Linked DNA regions of Saccharomyces cerevisiae S288C. Changing the gene in region 2 together with the main gene of any one other region gives a genetic interaction. Each region holds a gene or a part of one and is shown on either strand. Other genes may lie near its edges.

Region 1 (3,929 bases), on a different chromosome or scaffold from region 2:
CTTCCATTGTACTGAATTTAATTCAGCTTTATATATCTACTGGGAGACTCTTCATGCATTTCTTAATCTTAACGTTCCATTGTAGCTTAAAACTGGTCTCTAACAAATCTATACATAGACTAGAAGTAAATCCGAAATAGTGAGCATAAGGAAAGCACCATGTACCATACACTTCTGGTAAACACCTGATGCGATTCTAAAACAGCATTATGGTTGTAGTAAGTATCAGATCTGTATGCGATGCAGGAGTGCAATAAGTTTGTTTCAGTGTTGTTTTATGTTCGAGGTTTTGACAACGCCGTACGGGCACACCGTCTGTTGAAAAATAATACTGTAGAGGAGTCATATAAACGCTTGAAACAAAGAAGGACAAGGCAAAATAATTTGTTCATTTTACTGAAAGGGAAGGCTCGTGAAAGTATCTATACAAAAGCTTTAACGTCTCTGTAAGTATTTTTTTACGTAAGAATAATATAATAGCATGACGCTGACGTGTGATTCTAGTTGCCCAAAGACACATAATTGCTGGGGAAGAGACCTTTTGAGCCGTCTTTCTCTAGTTCCCCTAGCCACCAGTCATCGTCGACAAATTCAATATTGATAATCTTGTCATTTTCCACAAAGGTCAGTTCGTTATCTTCTGCAGCATCGTAATCATATTCTGCTGTGGCCCAAGGATTTTCCTTTGGCTTTTTCTCTGGAGTTGCTCGTCTTGGAGGCGGAGGAGGAGCTGCAGAGCTTCTTGATGGCAGCTGTGGAGCGGCTTCCTCAGCTTCTTCTTCAATTTCTTCTTCAGGTGCTTGTTCAGGTGCTTCTTCTTGTTTTGGAGCTGGGATCGAGTTTCTAGAAGGTAAGCTTGGGGCGATCTCTTCTTGTTCAGGCTCTTCTTTTTGCACTGGTGCTCCTGACGCAACATTCCTCGAAGGCAAAGGAGGTTGAGCAGCCTCGTCTTCATCATCATCCCAGTCATCATCATTCTCTTCTGGTTCTTCCTCATTATCCGCTTCAATGTGCATACCGGGTAATGGGTTGCCGATCTTCTTGTAATCAGTCTTAGGCTGCTCGGCTTCTTCAGCTTTCACAGGTTCTTGTGGCTTGGAGAAGGGTTTTGGTGAGATAATAGTTGGTTCTGATTTCTTTGGAGGAGGAGCAAATTTGTTTTCCATTTCTTCCTCCTCTTTTTCTGAAGCGGCCAATCCTTCAAATTTTGATTTCAAATCTTTGACGTCAGGTTCACCTTCAGGCTCATCTTCTGGAACTTCAGGTTTTGGTGCCTCAGCCTTAGTTTCGGCGTTGCCGCTGTTTTGCTTTGCCTTTCTTTCGGCCCATAATTGAGCAGGTGATTTCTCGTTTCTAAAACCCTTAATGACTTTATCATCATCATTCTTTAATGAAGATTCCGTCATGGAGGGGGGTTTAGTGGTGCCCAAAAAGGAGTTAAACTCGGAGTCCCTCTTTAATTTTGATTCGTTCTTTAAATTAGCGATATCAGAACTAGGATCAATCTTGGAACCAGCAGCGGTTGGCTTTTGAACAAGACGTGGGTCCTCCTTAGCCTTTTCTTCAGCAATCACTTTTTGCAAGTCGATTTTGCCAATTGGTTTGTAAGATGATTGATTTGGTTTCAGGGGAGCCTGATCGAAGTCGCGTTCCTTTAATTCAGGCTCATTCCAATCGTCGTCGTCATTGTTGTCGTTAACACGGGAAGAAATCTTAGCAGCAGGTGCTGGGGAAGGAGTCTTGACTGGTTCCTTCTTAGAAACTGGAGCAGGGCTCTTGGAAGGTGTGAAGGATTTCTTCACGGGAGGAGTGGAAGCCTTCCCCTGTTGCTTGGAGGAAGTCTGAATAGAATAACGGGCACCGGCCGCGTTACTGATTTTCATCAACAGTTCATTTTCGTCAAGATCGTCCTCGTCTCTGGCGGTAACTTGAACGTGGTAACCCTTGAACAGATTATTAGCAACTGCAGCAAAATTGGCGGCGAAAGAGGCCCTTGTCTTCAATGGCGCAGAATCAGGACACCAACCAATGATAATAATCTTCTCAACGTCTGACCCTGGTGGGGACACACGTGCCAGTCCGTACTGGACCTTGGTTTCATCAAACAATTGCAAGAAATCGTGAAAGGAGGAACCGGTAGACTCAGGTTCGTATTCTTTTTTCGCATTGGGTGAAATAATCAACCAGGTGGTGTCAGGATCGGAGCCTCTGACAATCTTCAGGTACTCTGCGTCGATCTCTCTCGAGTGAGTAGTATAATCAATAGGTTCCAAAGCCATTGTGATTGATAGGTGTGTGCGTGTATATACGTGCGGTTATGCGATTGTTTGTTTATAGATTGAACTATCCAATATGGTATACTCCTATTATATCCTTTTTTTCTACTTTAATCGAGGTTTTCCGCATTGTGAAAAAACAAGTGGAAATAAGAGACACAAGGCCACGTGACGCACATTTATACAGAAATACATCAATGGTTGCATAGTAAAGCGAAAACAAGAGTTCCTCGAGGGCGTATGATGCTTGAAAACGATTAAAATCCTATGGAAAAGGAATGCCTTTTCCCTCCATTGCTGACGGGATATTGTGAACTATTGACTGTCTCATTTAACTTCCTAAAATAAGTGCTCTCATGGACAGAGATATCAAAGTAACGTCTAAATATTAGCTTTGTGACTACTACATTGATGCAGATGAGTGGACTAGCAGCATCTCATAATAAATAAATCAAAAATAAAGGTTCATTCTCTTTTGGTTGCTTTTTGCCTTGACGGGAAAAAGTGAAAAAAAATTGAAAATTTTTAACTTGCGATGAGCTCTAAGAGTATTCTGTATACAACAGCAAACGGTCTCAGTCAAGAAATATTTGTTATTACAGGATGGTTACGTTCAACTGTGAGGTGTGTAATGATACTGTGCCCAAGAAGAATACCGAAAAGCATTATTATAGATGTCCTAACGCGTACTATACATGCATAGATTGCTCCAAGACGTTTGAAGATGGCGTGAGTTACAAGAATCACACGTCTTGCATCAGCGAGGACGAGAAGTACCAGAAAGCGTTGTACAAGGGCAACAAGAAGCAGAAGCAGAAGCAGCAGCAGAAGCAGCAGCAGAAGCAGCACCAGCACCAGCCAGTGGCAACTCCTGCAAAGAAAGTGGAGAAGCCTGTGATCAAGAAGGCAGAGAAAGTGGAAAAGACCTCGAACGGTATCGAGCTTCACAAGGGCAAGTCGTTGTACAAAATTTTGAAAACCATGAAGGATAAAGGGGCAAAAAAGACCTTCTTGAAAAGTCTGGTTGTGGATTCTGAGGGGCAAATCAGGTATGCAAAGGAATAATCGGAATTTTATGTGTAGATATATAGACATTATGTAGCAGCTTACTCGGTTTCATCTTTTTTCTCTCTTTTCTTATTCAGGCTTTTAGCGATTTTGTTATAGAATTGGTTTAGCGACGAGAGGGGGAAACTCAACGTTTCGAAGAGGTATTCCGGTAGTTTCGACTGTAGCGAGTATAGTTCCTCGGTGGATCGCTGTTTAAGAACGGGCGCATATATGACTTCTGTGACTTGGGCCTGGCCCTTGACAAATCCGAGTTTATAGTCCATTATCGAATAATCATCGGAAGATCCCCCTGAGTGGGTGCCCTGCGAGATGTCGAACCACAACCCAGAATCATCCTCGTAGCTTTTATGTACACGTACGTTACAGAGGTACTCGTAAAGGTCCTTTATGACTTCTGAATTTTCTGCCTGTTGGGAAGTCTGAGTCTTCAGCTCCTTGACTTGTGCGTTTAGCGAGTCTATCTGCTTCTGCAGCTGTTTGATCTCGGTTGCTTTTGTATCCAGCTTCTCCGACAGTACGAAATTCTCATTTACCAAATTTGCCACTAGTAAGTCTGCGGAATCGATCTGTTGTTTCACTGAG
Region 2 (9,474 bases):
ATTCATCATGCGCTGCTGTGGGTACGGCCCATTTTGTGGCAATGGTACTTGAGCAGCTTGAGGAGAGGCATGATGATGGTTCTCTGGAACAGCAGATGAGGGAGGTGTTGTTGGCTGTTGAGAATTAGCCTGAGTGGAAACCTTCTCACATTCTTCTGTTTTGGAAGCTGAAATGTCTAACGGATCTTGAGTTGTTTGGACTTCTTTAGAAGTAACCGAAGCACAGGCGCTACCATGAAAAATCGGGGAATGTTGAGATAATTGTTGGGATTCCATTGTTGATAAAGGCTATAATATTAGGTATACAGAATATACACTAGAAGTTCTCCTCAAGGATATAGGAATCCTCAAAATGGAATCTATATTTCTACATACTAATATTACGATTATTCCTCATTCCGTTTTATATGTTTCATTATCCTATTACATTATCAATCCTTGCACTTCAGCTTCCTCTAACTTCGATGACAGCTTCTCATAACTTATGTCATCATCTTAACACCGTATATGATAATATATTGATAATATAACTATTAGTTGATAGACGATAGTGGATTTTTATTCCAACAATTCCACTGTTGTTAGAGACTATAATATTAGATATACAGATAATACTAGAAGTCATACCCAAAGATATAGAAATCTACAAAAGGGAATCGGTGTTTCTACACAATATCATTTTATCGATGTTGAACTTCTAACATTTTCCTATATGCGCAATGTCTTTCCCTTATGAACACGCACAGGCCAAAAACTTACCAGAAATTCTTCTGTATTACAAAAAAAAAGAAATGAATTTATCAAAGTAACGCAACGGCAGCAGAATAGAGAAAGCGTAGTGACCGATGTCAGACGCGAAGGAGTCGCAGATTCTCAAACTAAGGAAAATCCAGCCTCTATGGGTGAATAGCTCATCCAATCGATCCAAGAAAAATTGTTGAGGCTATAATTACATATAATATCTACTGAACAGCTGCATTCCAGGACCTTTTTGAACAGCGCGCCCAAAATTAATGAAGAAATCGTTGATCTTATGTGAAGACCGAACAGAAAGGACAGACTAAAGTTTCGCCCAATTAGCTTACGAACATATAATGACGAGGACGCCACATTCCTCAGTATGAGTAGGGGGTCAATTAAATTCTTGAGTTATAAGTGTCCCATTTACTATGGTTATGCTCTGCTTCCCTATTTTCTTTGCGTTTTCATAAGAAGGGATATGAAGTATTGTCATTCCACAGAGTATGATATAAATCAGTCAGGTCACCACTGCTGACAAACTCCTCTAAAGTACCCAAGTTGTATATATTATTCTCATTAGCGCTTATTTGGCTAGGCGCAGAATGTTGTCTTTTTGTCTGTTGTAACGATCGATCTTGATGCCGCAGATTACATGGAACATTTTCTGATGCGTCTTGAGTGTACGATTCCTCTCCAGAGTTCAACAAAGACGATAACTTCAACGGTGAGTTTGCTGCTGAGGCAGAAGCATTGTTGTATGAAGGAGCAGTACTGTCATACAACTGAGAAATTTGGCTTGAATTTCCTTGGTCTGGAATATTACCAGTGGCCAATTTGTCTCTATACAAAAATTTATAGTCGCTTTCTAACATTTTTCTAATTATTAAATGAAAGCCTGATTTTTCAACGGATTTCAACATGTACCTGTAAATAAAAGAGCGGGTATCAAAAAACTCACGCAAAAGGTCACTTAGACCCGGTTCAACTTCTTTCAAACGTTCGATGAATTCGGCTCTATCAATTTGTTCGGCATAGCAGTATTTTAAAAATATGATTCTTATGGATATGGCAACCAAACTCGAACTTCTCGAAAACTCCCTGAAAGTTTGACAATCATAATCCTTCTCGTCCAAATTATTATTAAAAAAAGAAATAATGTTAGTTATTCTCTTAAAAACTTTCAAAGTGTTGATAACATCCTCTAAAGTGATGTGCGGGTCTTCCACATAAAATTTTGAAGCCATCACGAAAAATATCAGTTCATAAAAGTCCAAACATGCCCAAACAATAAAATCAGTATCAACCTGTATTAAGAATTGATTAATTTCCCTCCATTCTTGAAACATTTCATTCGCATATTTCATGCTTTGCTCAGTTATCACCTCTGGATCTTCAGATAGCCTAGCAATAAGATTGTTAACAGCACCCAAGATGGAGAACCATGTATTTTTATGGTAACTTACAAATTTAGCTGCTTCAATTAGATCGTTTTTTGGATATTCTGGATATTTGCAGTGAGCTACTTGAAAAACTCTTGAGGTGTGAAGCTTTATTTTGGCCAATTTTAACCTAAAAGATTCAATGTCCTCAAAAACTTTCTCCAATAACTTTTGTCTGATAATTGTGGGTTTAACGGATACTTCTAAAGACGTGAATTTCTCATTATAAAGAGTCTCTGAAAAAAAATCTCCAACAATTTGGGCTATCGCTAACTCACCATATTCAATAAGCCTGGACAATGACAAGTTTTTTAGCTTGGGCGATGACGGTGATAAAGAGGACGTACCAATTTTCGTTAAAAATTCTTTATGGTTAATGAATCCCATGTCCCTGAAATCCTTCGGCAAGAGACAATTCATTTGATGTTCATTTATTAAGGATAAATCACCAAGATCAGTTAAAAAACGCTTTTCCAGACTGTATATTTTCCACCATATTTTTCTTCTCCGTTCGGCAGTATTTTCGTCTATTCCAACATAATACTCCCAACGAGACAATCCCATCTTAGTGGAGCATGTAACCGCAACTTCTAGCATTTTTTCAAATCCAAAACGCTCATCAATTTCATTTTGGATTTCTAGCAATGACACTAAAATCTCTAGGTAATCTAAAGTGTTTATGTCCAACATGTGATATAGGGTAACATTGTAGTATGCGTAACAAAGAGTAGATAGAAGATATTCTGATGAGCAGAATGACGAGAATAAAACACTCTTTTCTTGATGGGGCAAGGAGAAAGCTTGGTTTAAAAATTCCGCAAAGCGCTTCCTATGTTGAGCATACATTTGAGTAACTATTCGAAACATCGAAAATGAATCATGTAAATTTTCTATCAATTGAGTAGTCGTAAACCCGGTAATCGATTGTATAAATGGCTGAGGTAGTTGATGAATAACAGAAATGACTAAATCGTTAGATAAAGGTGCTGGGGAAGTAGGCAAACTAGCAGATGCCGTCGTAGTAGGAGTTTGCTTTATTTTTTGAAGATAGTTCTCTAATGGATTAGAAATAGAGATGCAACCTTGGATCAAATGTTCATAACACAAATCAAACAATCTTAATATTAGATAAATAGTTTCCTTTGTATCTATTAACATCGATGAACCCGTGTTTTCGATATTTTTTTTAATTAAATATCCTATACCTCTTAGTGAAAAAGCCTGTATTGGAGAGAAAAGACCAAATACTTCATCTACTAGTGGAGTGGTGGCTAGAAATGAATCTGGACTTTGTGATTTAACCATTTGGTCTGTCCAAAAGGAGAACCTCGTCATGTGTATTTTATTTCTATACTTGTTGGTTAAAAGATACGTTTCTATCGATCTTTGTGGGCGAGGAGAGAAACTGGAAAGCTTGGGGTAGTTTATTTCGGGATTCCAACTGTTAATCAGGTTATTCAACTGCGACTTCGTTTTATCAATCAAGAGCTGAGTGTCATCACAAGGCGGCAGAGCGTACAAATTTGTCAGAATATTTTGATACGTAACCAGTTGATTTTGATATTTGGAATCATCTTTAAAGAGAATATTATTATCATTAGTAGGATTATTGGAAGTATCAGGAGCATGCGTCGCACTCGGAGAGACTGGAGTCTGTATCAGGTCGTTCATCAGTTTGAAGTAATATTGATTATCTAGCTTAATCGCAGTGTCCAGATGCTGTACATCTGCTGAAGCCTCTACATTGGCGTGGGAAGAGGGTGGAGCAACAGCTGTAGTAGGCAAAGACTGGGAACTATCCTCCTTCTGCGGTAAATGTTTTTTTAGGAATACACACGTACAATCGTAAGAAATGCAGTTGGTACATGGATATTTACCTGTGCATTTGATTTTCCTTTTTCTGCAATTGACACATGCTGTCGAAACTTTTGATCTAGTTGATTTCTTCACTTTCATTGCGGTCACGCAATAAGAAAAAATTAATAAAACTGCTGATGCAGTTGTCGCCTAAGACCTATGGTTGCTTTGGAAGGCTCCTGAAGACACAAACACAGGAAATACATAAATACATTAATGAGATTCTATAACAGTATCTACATATTTGCATTCTAAGACTCACTGTGATAGTTCATTTATTATTCCGCGGAAAGTCCGAGCGGCAGAGGAGGCAGCTCCGCGGAAACAAGGGCAGCGCCTGTTGTTCTGGAAGAAAATGAAAAGTGAAATGCAGTTGTCGTGGAAATAATGGCTTTACCTGAAAGCAGCAGAGCACGGTGTTAACAAGGAATAGCTGAGAATGAGTGGAAGTAATATGGGATACTATGACGTACTCGCAGGGCTTTCAGCGCTGGAAAAGTCATCCCAGGTAGTGTTCAGTGCGACTGAGCTTCAACAGCTTACGCAACAATCTCATGCTACCGACAAGGGCATAGAGGGCAGTGAGAATAGTAAAGCGAAGGTATCCAAGCCCAAAAGAGTAGCTGTACATGGTTACCTAGGCGGTAAAGTGTCGCTCGCCGATGCGGCACAGGTGGAGTATGAAGTAGGCCATTCACTGCTGGGCAGTTATGTGCCACGCCAGCAGTTGGAAGCCCTGTCAAGTGTCGACTTTTCGCACCATTTCCACCGCACATTAGAATGCAAAGCTGCTCTAGAGACACACGATGTTTTTCTTGCCGGCGCAGGACAATTGTCTCTACCCTTCCAATCACACATAGAGAGCCCCAGGAATAGCGAGGCTAAAAGGAAAAGAAAAGTGATAATATGCAAACGGTGTCAATCACGATTTATAGGTTCCCATAGGCGGTCTCAACTTAGAGAACATGCCTGCGTAGATTAAACCATGTAATTGATAGAGGTAGAATGTTGCTTCGTAGAAAGTGACTATACGATTCCTAAAAGGGGCTTCCTTCCACTCATGCGAAATCGAGATACATCAGACGAAAACAGAACGAATATTTAGCGCATATATACTATGTATATCTATTGCAATCCTAAAAGAAGGGATAGTGTAACATAGCCAAGGCGACAGAGTGTGTTATATACAAAAGAGCTAGAGTATGACTGTGTTTCTGGGCATCTATAGGGCCGTCTATGCCTATGAGCCGCAGACACCAGAAGAACTGGCCATCCAAGAAGACGATCTGTTGTACCTCTTACAGAAGTCAGACATTGACGATTGGTGGACAGTAAAGAAAAGAGTCATTGGTTCCGATAGCGAAGAACCGGTGGGTCTAGTGCCCTCCACTTACATTGAAGAAGCTCCTGTTTTGAAGAAGGTAAGAGCCATTTATGATTATGAACAGGTGCAAAATGCTGATGAAGAATTGACGTTTCATGAAAATGACGTTTTTGATGTATTCGATGATAAAGATGCTGATTGGCTGTTGGTTAAGTCTACCGTTTCCAATGAATTCGGCTTCATTCCAGGCAATTACGTCGAACCAGAGAATGGGTCCACTTCCAAGCAGGAACAGGCTCCCGCTGCCGCTGAAGCTCCTGCAGCTACTCCTGCAGCCGCTCCTGCTTCTGCTGCCGTACTACCCACCAACTTTTTACCACCTCCTCAACACAATGATAGAGCTCGTATGATGCAAAGTAAAGAAGACCAAGCTCCAGATGAGGATGAAGAGGGCCCTCCTCCTGCCATGCCTGCAAGACCAACGGCTACTACCGAAACTACTGATGCCACCGCTGCGGCTGTTCGATCTCGTACAAGACTATCATACAGCGATAACGATAATGACGATGAAGAGGATGATTACTATTACAACAGCAACAGCAACAACGTTGGAAATCACGAATACAATACAGAGTATCACTCTTGGAACGTTACCGAAATCGAGGGAAGGAAAAAGAAGAAGGCCAAGCTATCAATCGGTAACAACAAGATAAACTTCATACCCCAAAAGGGGACTCCTCATGAGTGGTCAATTGATAAATTGGTCTCTTATGATAACGAAAAGAAACACATGTTCTTGGAATTTGTTGATCCATATAGAAGCCTTGAATTACACACTGGTAATACCACCACATGTGAAGAGATCATGAACATTATTGGTGAATATAAAGGTGCTTCCCGTGATCCTGGGTTGAGAGAAGTCGAAATGGCTTCCAAATCCAAAAAGAGAGGTATTGTTCAATATGACTTCATGGCTGAATCACAGGACGAATTAACCATAAAATCAGGCGATAAAGTCTACATTTTAGATGATAAAAAATCTAAGGACTGGTGGATGTGCCAACTGGTTGATTCAGGGAAAAGCGGTCTCGTTCCTGCACAGTTTATTGAGCCTGTTCGTGACAAAAAACATACTGAATCTACAGCAAGCGGTATCATCAAGTCTATCAAGAAAAACTTCACCAAATCTCCATCTAGGTCGAGATCTAGATCAAGATCTAAATCCAATGCCAATGCCAGTTGGAAAGATGATGAACTACAAAACGATGTTGTAGGTAGTGCTGCCGGTAAAAGGTCAAGAAAAAGTTCATTGTCCTCTCACAAAAAAAACTCTTCGGCGACCAAAGATTTCCCCAATCCAAAAAAATCGCGTCTATGGGTTGATAGAAGTGGTACTTTCAAAGTGGATGCAGAATTCATTGGATGTGCTAAGGGGAAAATCCACTTGCACAAGGCTAATGGTGTCAAGATTGCTGTCGCCGCTGATAAACTATCCAATGAAGATTTAGCGTATGTGGAAAAAATTACTGGGTTCTCCTTAGAGAAATTTAAGGCGAATGATGGGTCTAGTTCCCGTGGCACTGATTCAAGAGACTCTGAAAGAGAAAGAAGAAGGAGATTGAAGGAGCAGGAGGAAAAAGAACGCGATAGGAGATTGAAAGAGCGTGAATTATACGAATTGAAAAAAGCCAGAGAACTCCTAGATGAAGAAAGATCAAGGTTGCAAGAAAAGGAATTGCCTCCAATAAAACCACCAAGACCAACCTCTACTACCTCCGTTCCAAATACGACGTCCGTACCACCAGCCGAAAGCAGCAATAACAACAACTCCAGTAACAAATATGATTGGTTCGAATTTTTCTTGAATTGCGGCGTTGATGTAAGCAATTGTCAAAGATATACAATAAATTTTGATAGAGAACAGCTTACTGAAGACATGATGCCTGACATCAATAACTCAATGTTAAGAACCTTGGGTCTGCGCGAAGGTGATATTGTTAGAGTAATGAAACATCTTGACAAGAAATTTGGAAGAGAAAATATTGCATCAATTCCTACAAATGCCACTGGAAATATGTTTTCACAACCTGATGGTTCATTGAACGTTGCTACAAGTCCGGAAACCTCACTGCCTCAGCAATTGTTGCCACAAACAACAAGTCCTGCTCAAACAGCTCCTTCCACATCAGCTGAGACAGATGATGCTTGGACTGTTAAACCGGCTTCTAAGTCTGAATCTAATTTACTCTCTAAGAAATCAGAATTTACTGGTTCCATGCAGGATTTATTAGACTTGCAACCTTTAGAACCTAAAAAGGCAGCTGCCTCGACACCTGAACCAAACCTAAAAGATTTGGAACCCGTGAAAACTGGCGGCACCACTGTTCCTGCTGCTCCGGTTTCATCTGCTCCGGTTTCATCTGCTCCCGCTCCATTGGATCCATTCAAAACCGGTGGCAACAATATCTTACCCTTATCTACTGGCTTTGTGATGATGCCAATGATTACTGGGGGCGATATGCTGCCTATGCAAAGAACCGGCGGCTTCGTTGTACCACAAACAACTTTTGGTATGCAATCGCAAGTTACTGGTGGTATCCTACCTGTTCAAAAGACAGGAAATGGGTTAATTCCTATCTCTAACACTGGCGGCGCAATGATGCCACAAACTACGTTCGGCGCAGCAGCTACCGTCTTACCTCTGCAAAAAACTGGAGGTGGCCTAATACCAATTGCCACCACAGGAGGTGCGCAATTCCCGCAAACTTCATTCAATGTTCAGGGGCAACAACAACTTCCAACAGGTTCAATATTACCTGTCCAAAAAACTGCTAATGGATTAATTTCAGCTAATACTGGTGTCTCAATGCCAACTGTACAAAGAACAGGCGGCACTATGATTCCACAAACATCATTTGGCGTTTCACAGCAATTAACAGGTGGTGCAATGATGACCCAACCTCAAAATACAGGGAGTGCCATGATGCCTCAAACATCCTTCAATGCTGTACCACAAATTACTGGAGGAGCAATGATGCCTCAAACGTCCTTCAATGCTTTACCACAAGTTACAGGGGGAGCAATGATGCCTTTGCAGAGAACTGGTGGTGCTTTGAATACATTTAATACTGGAGGCGCCATGATTCCCCAGACTTCGTTCAGCTCTCAAGCTCAAAACACTGGCGGGTTCCGGCCGCAATCCCAATTCGGTTTGACTTTACAAAAAACCGGAGGTATTGCGCCATTAAACCAGAACCAGTTCACTGGTGGAGCCATGAATACTTTAAGTACAGGGGGCGTTCTTCAACAACAGCAACCACAAACGATGAATACCTTCAATACTGGTGGTGTTATGCAAGAGCTCCAAATGATGACTACTTTCAATACTGGTGGTGCTATGCAACAACCACAGATGATGAACACATTCAACACCGATGGAATTATGCAACAACCACAGATGATGAACACTTTTAACACTGGGGGTGCTATGCAACAACCACAACAACAAGCATTACAGAACCAACCTACTGGATTTGGGTTTGGTAATGGACCTCAACAATCAAGGCAAGCCAACATATTCAATGCTACTGCATCAAATCCGTTTGGATTCTAGATTAATGTATTTTAAGATTTTATAGGATAATAACTAAAACAAGCTATATGAAATAGTTTCGTACAATCTGTGCTTATACTCGTGAAAATGGCAAATTTCTCTTTTTTTTTTTATAAGTAGTTATGTATGTATTTTACTAATTTTAATATAATCGTTCTCAGTCCCAATAATGTTTTATTGTCATATTATACTAAAGTTGAAATGGTGGAGTCGACCCTAAGAATTTATTTCTTCCAGACAGAGGAGGTGTGTAGTCACTTTGGTTCCACTAATAGACAACCGACATTAAAATACTTCTGATCTGTGCCTTCAGAAAGCTTCATCTGTAACCGCTTGTCTGTATGAGTCGTTTCAAATGGTAACCACTTAAACAATGCGAATACTACAATGATATTTATAAAATATAGACGTAATTATGAGGGAAAAAACTTGTCCAAAGGAAGGGGTATAAGCTTATTATTTATATAACGACCAACAACCCAGATCCTTAGTCCATTTAT
Region 3 (5,904 bases), on a different chromosome or scaffold from region 2:
CTTCATCTGCCATCGCCTTTCTATGTTTTCCGTATTTCTTCCCCGCAAGTTCTTTAAACTCAGATAGTATTAGAATCGATAATTAAGGCCAGGTCAAAGTTCGTATTAATTTCAACCTTTGGGCACCTATATTGGATTAATTTCCGTAAGATAATATATGAGAGCACTATCATGGAGTGATGAAGAAAAATTCAAACTCTAGGGGCAAACCGTTTGTTACGATTGCTCAAAAATTACTGCGTCTGAAGCCAGAATTGTAGGTATATACGAAAAGGTACAACTTGGGATACTATTGACGGCGGTAAGATAAGTGAATCCTACCTTTCGTTTTGAGCCGCTCAAATAAGACCTGATACAAAAACGGTTGTTTAATCTTTGTATAGTTTCTTCTGTAGAAGAGTTATGAAAATATACACTTAAACTATAACGATAAGAAAATGCGAAAGGAAAATGATGAAATCGAAAGCATTCACAATTTCCCCTTGGAAGCATTGGGTAAATTACCAACCTACGTATCCTCTCGCAACAATTCTGAAAACCTTTAACTTCCCACTTTTCATATGGCTTAGCTTGTAGCTGTTTTGAATAATCTTTCCCTCGTGATTTTCGATAACTCTAAACTTATTCTTTGTAAAATCATAATCAGTAACAACACTCGAATACGGAGCGGCGGAGTCCATTCCAACGTTGATAATTTCGTTTTTTCCGATCTTTTTATGAGCTTCAAATTTGGCCTTTCTAATTACAAGAATGTCACCTGGTTTAATCTTCTGTAAGCTCTTCATCAACTGTTCGATTCCTTCTTCAGGTTTATAACTCAATATAGTTGCGCCAAACGTTCTTGCTCCTATGGGTTGTATAACTTCGTCTTTGAATTCGGATACAATTTGTGACACGAAATTCTTAGCCCCAATATGTGAATTTATCAATGAATGAGATTTCTCTACAACTTTCGCATTAAACCTTTGAGCGTATTCATCAAGAATACGTGCTGATTGTGTTTCGACTGGCGATGGAAAGCGTTCTTGAAGAGTCGTTACCGTTTTCTCTGGGCTTGTACTATTAAAGGTCAAGGAGAATCTTAGTTGCGAATAGTTTTCAAACAAGAAGTAAAAATCCCTTACCACCCATTTTTGATGTAATCTTTTGGAAATGAAATGATCATCGATCTCCATCAAAAAGTTCAACTTCAGATTGCTTATAGCAGGAGGTGCGCTTTTATTAATCCACCATCTTTCTTGTGCATTAAACTCTATCTTGACGTTGTTGGAAATCTCGCCTACATCATGCGTCGTTGACCTTCTTATAGAGGCCACCTTCGGTGTAGTATCTGACTCATGGAATGAATCCACAGGACGATTCGTCAATGAAGGCACATGGGGCGGTAGGGTTCGTGATTCTTTTTCTGCCCCAGATAGTACTGAGGTTGGCACACGTTGTTGCGTACTCATCATTGAAGGTGTAGAGGCCGTGACATTTTGATGTGGTGGAGGAGAAGGAGCTGTATGTGAATGAGTGGCTGTTGGTTCAGAGTCAAATTCAAAAGTAGCCGGTGGTACTGGTGGTGCACGTGGAAGTGGCGGAGCAGTATTTGGCATAGGATGATATTCCTCGGATACAGGTGGAAGGGGAGCAGATGACTTGACATGTTCTTCTACTTCATTGTGTTTAGGCAGCGCAAGAGGCGCTGGAGGTGCTGGAGGTGCTGGAGGTGTTGGAGGTACTGGAGGTATTGAAGGTGCTGAGAGTGCTGGAGGTGCTGAAGATACTGGAGGTACTGGGGGTACTGGGGGTACTGAAGGTGCAGAGAGTGCTGGAGGTGCTGGAGGTACTGGAGGTGCAGAGGGTACTGAAGGTGCAGAGGGTACTGGAGGTGCAGAGGGTGCAGAAGGCACTGGGTGAGGTGGCACCTTGTCCTCAGGATGTGACACCTTACTTAGAACTGGAGCTGCTGGAGCTGCCATCGAAATATCTTGAGCGGTTTCTGTTAATGCAGATGAATTAGTGGAAACTGTATCATGATACTCGTTTATGGATTTCCGCCGATTTTCCCCTGAAATGGATTTAGTCAAAGAATTTATCGACCCGTTGCGAGCAACTCTTGTTTGTGGGGAAGAGACAGGCAAAACATTTCCAGTTGTGTTTTGTGATGAATTTTCAATATCATGTGATACTTCTGCAGTACGGTGGGAGATTGGTGGTTCTTGAGGGTAAATTTTTTCTCCGGAATTAACATTCTCTGACTCATTATTACCTATCTGAAAAGCTTGCTCCACCATCGAATGCTTTCTCAACCCATCGTTTGCATCCTCAAACTCGTGGTCGTCAGTATCTTCATCAGAATCATGGTCAGAGTATTCGGGATGTGCATTATCAACAGCAGCTAAATTGTGATAGGCGTGTGTACCATGTTCTTGCTTCTGTTCATGCTCTGTGGTTGCATGAGGATCTAGCGTCTTTGTTTCAGTGGGTTGATTCTTCTCACTTAGATTTGATTTCCTAAAAAATGGGTTAGAACTTGGGTCAACAAATGGCATAACAGGTATGGCACGAGGTAGTTCTTGGAGCTGTTCAGGTTCCTCCTCCTCCTTCTCCTTATGCTGTTTCTTTTTCGGCTCTTCTGATGGTTTATTTCCAACTCCAGAAGCCATACCGAAGGGGTTAAAACCAACAGGAGCACCGAATCTACTAGCGCCAGATAGTTTAGCCATTCTTTCTCTCAATGCGGCCCTACGATTCTCTTCACTATCTTCCTCTTCTTTTTCCTCATCATTATCTCCCTCTCTGTCTTCATGGCCGTAACCTATTTCGCTTTCCTCAGCAACATTTTCTCCTCTTGCCTCGTCTGCTTGTGACTCCTCAACTTTCTGATTTTCCTTTGTGTACTCATCTAAAAATTGTTCTTTCTCTATGTCATTCGTGCCTTCATCTGCTTCGCGTGAGGTTTTAGTAATCTCTTTATGTGCCAATAATTCCATTTGCGGTTCCTCGTTGTGCTCAGTTTCAGGCGTAAATTCAGGTTTCGGTTCAGTTTTTTCATTTTCTTCTGCTTCTTCAGTTTCCGTATAGGGCTCATTCTTGTTAACCGCACTACGTTCATGTTCTTGTTCGAGCTTAGCCTTTTTTCTCAAGAGTTCTTCTTCTCTTGCAGCCTGTAATCTTTGTTGCTCCTGTAAAAGAGCAATTCTTTCTTTAAGGCTCATCTGGGGCAAATCCTTCTTTAATTGGTCATTCTCAGTTTCTATTCTTCCACTTTCCACCTGTGCACGATTAATTGGTTCGGGAACAATCTTTTTTTCGTTTTCCTTTAGGGACTTTTTCCTTTCAAGATTGGACGTATCATTTGTTGGAATTCCAGGGGGGACATAGTATTTAGGAGCATCTGCCACAATTGTTTTTTTCACAGGTATGTTTTCTAAATCCAAGTGAGTTGATTTTGGTAAAGGAACTTGCTCCGTTATATCTTGATTAAACATAGATAAGCGAGCCTTCAATTTTGGAGAATCCATGGGAACTTTTCTTTCGCCATTACCACTACTACTATCATGCTGGACCTGTGCTGATACTGCTGTAGCGGCTGGAACTGGCACTGTAGCGGCTGGAACTGGCACTGTAGCGGCTGGAACTGGCACTGGCCCGGACAGAGTTTCTTTCTTCGTTTCAGGGGAAATGGGCTCTGGTAGGTCCTTTTGTTCTACTTCCGGCTGGATTGTACGTTGCTCAGTGGAACCGGTATTCGGAGATGATTCGGCTTCCTTTCCAACTTCAGATCCCTGAACAGCAACAAAACTTTTCGGGAAGATACCCTCAATAACGTCGCCATTTGAATCCTGGTATTCACCAAAGTACCATTCGGCGTCTTCAACAGACGTAACAATAATCTCTTGATCTTTTTCAAAATTTAAATCGTCCTCGTAATCGGACTTGTATGGGAACTGAGCCACCACCTTGAAGGGCACTTCGGGTTCACTCATCCTTAGTTTGGGTAAGACTGTGTTTACTTCTAGTAGCTCTTGCAGTTGGGACGCGATTGATGTTTACTACCGACTTGACGCTACTGTTTCACAGTGTGCTAGTAAATACCACTTCTAGTTGAAGTCTTAAGGAGATTATAATTCTGGAGGTAAAATAGGGGCATTGTAGACCTCTAACTATTTTCAGGGTATATTCCTATATTATATAGGTTTATTCTTAAAATATGAGGTTTATAAATGATACACATCACTTATTGATAGGGTTATACTCTTTGATACGGGTAACATATGAGACGCGAAAATGGAATATAATGACAATGTAAATATCGTCATCTTGAGATAATTATCAACAAGGTTGTCATGAGGAGTTACAGATAAAAGTCAACAGAGTGGAGTTAGTGGTGTTTTAACTGTAGTGCTCCATAGTTTCACGGCGGTTTCTCTTGTTTTCAGTTGGTAGTAACTTTTATCCTGGAAGTGCTGGAAATGAATAACTCAAATGAGCATAGGCGGGAAGAGGCAGGAGCGGCTAATGAACAAATGCCTTACAATAAGGCTGTAAAGTCCGCGTATGCAGATGTCCTCAAGGACAAAATGAATAGGGAACAGGAGATTAGCCTACGAGCCATCAAAAAAGGGATATACACCGATGGCGGTGAAACTGACAACTATGATATGGATAAAGAGAATGATTCCGCGTACGAAATGTTCAAAAAAAATCTTGATTTTCCGTTAGACCAACATAATGATGACGACGATGATGATCCGTACATTGAGGATAATGGACAAGAGACCGACGGATATAGCGACGAGGACTATACAGATGAGGCAGACAAGAGTTTTATAGAAGACAGCGATTCCGACAGCTACGATTTGGAAAGTAATTCTGACTTTGAAGAGAACTTGGAAAGTTCAGGTGAAGCTAAGAAGTTGAAGTGGCGGACGTACATTTTCTATGGAGGCCTTTTCTTCGTTTTTTATTTTTTTGGATCTTTTTTGATGACAACCGTGAAAAATAATGATTTAGAAAGCCATTCATCCGGCGCTACATCCTCTCCAGGCAAATCATTCAGCAACCTACAAAAACAGGTGAATCATTTATATAGTGAGTTGAGTAAGCGGGACGAAAAGCACAGTTCAGAATTGGATAAAACAGTAAAAATCATTGTCTCTCAATTTGAAAAGAATATTAAAAGACTTTTACCCTCAAATTTGGTTAATTTTGAAAATGACATTAACTCGCTGACAAAACAGGTTGAGACAATTTCAACTTCCATGAGTGAGTTACAGAGGCGAAATCACAAATTTACGGTCGAGAATGTTACTCAATGGCAAGATCAACTGGTAAAACAGTTGGATACACACCTCCCTCAAGAAATACCCGTTGTAATTAATAATTCTTCGTCGCTTTTAATAATCCCTGAATTGCACAATTATTTGAGTGCTTTGATTTCAGACGTTATTGAGTCTCCAGGCATTGGTACTGCTGGAAGCGCTGAAAGTCGTTGGGAGTATGATTTGAATCGCTATGTAAAGGAAATTCTTTCGAATGAGTTGCAATATATCGATAAGGATTATTTCATCCAAGAAATGAACAGAAGGTTGCAATCTAACAAACAGGAGATTTGGGAAGAGATCACAAATAGGTTAGAGACACAGCAGCAGCAGCAGCAGCAGCAGGTTCAACAGGATTATTCTAACGTGCCACAGCAGTATTCGAGCATATTAATGAAAAGATTAATTCACCAAATTTACAATTCCAATCAACACCAATGGGAGGACGATTTAGATTTTGCTACTTATGTTCAAGGTACTAAACTATTGAACCATTTAACTTCACCAACCTGGAGACAGGGCAGTGGGGTACAGCCGATAGAATTACTGACCGACTCCAAACAAAGCTCCTCAACTTACTGGCAATGTGAGAACG

What was found. A genetic interaction does not mean that the proteins touch.
Region 1: mutations in SLA1 (region 2) and ABP1 together harm fitness more than expected from each alone (negative genetic interaction), as found in Saccharomyces cerevisiae (6 studies listed by BioGRID, with this or other methods).
Region 3: mutations in SLA1 (region 2) and BBC1 are lethal when combined (synthetic lethality), as found in Saccharomyces cerevisiae (6 studies listed by BioGRID, with this or other methods).

What each region holds. Positions count from the first base shown.
Region 1 is NC_001135.5:263,418-267,346, reverse strand, and holds ABP1 (Abp1p), read right to left. Parts: upstream 2,280-3,929; coding exon 501-2,279; downstream 1-500. Other genes in the region: YCR087C-A (uncharacterized protein), read left to right, coding at 2,880-3,341; CSM1 (Csm1p), read right to left, coding at 3,383-3,929. UniProt on the Saccharomyces cerevisiae protein: Regulates ARP2/3 complex-mediated actin assembly. Recruits ARP2/3 complex to sides of preexisting actin filaments, which may promote nucleation or stabilization of filament branches. Binds to actin filaments, but not actin monomers.
Region 2 is NC_001134.8:212,132-221,605, reverse strand, and holds SLA1 (cytoskeletal protein-binding protein SLA1), read left to right. Parts: upstream 1-5,239; coding exon 5,240-8,974; downstream 8,975-9,474. Other genes in the region: YBL005W-A (gag protein), read right to left, coding at 1-276; drug-responsive transcription factor PDR3, read right to left, coding at 1,206-4,136; LDB7 (Ldb7p), read left to right, coding at 4,477-5,019; HIR1 (Hir1p), read right to left, coding at 9,431-9,474. UniProt on the Saccharomyces cerevisiae protein: Component of the PAN1 actin cytoskeleton-regulatory complex required for the internalization of endosomes during actin-coupled endocytosis. The complex links the site of endocytosis to the cell membrane-associated actin cytoskeleton.
Region 3 is NC_001142.9:398,437-404,340, forward strand, and holds BBC1 (Bbc1p), read right to left. Parts: upstream 3,975-5,904; coding exon 501-3,974; downstream 1-500. Other genes in the region: MPS3 (Mps3p), read left to right, coding at 4,461-5,904. UniProt on the Saccharomyces cerevisiae protein: Involved in the regulation of actin cytoskeleton.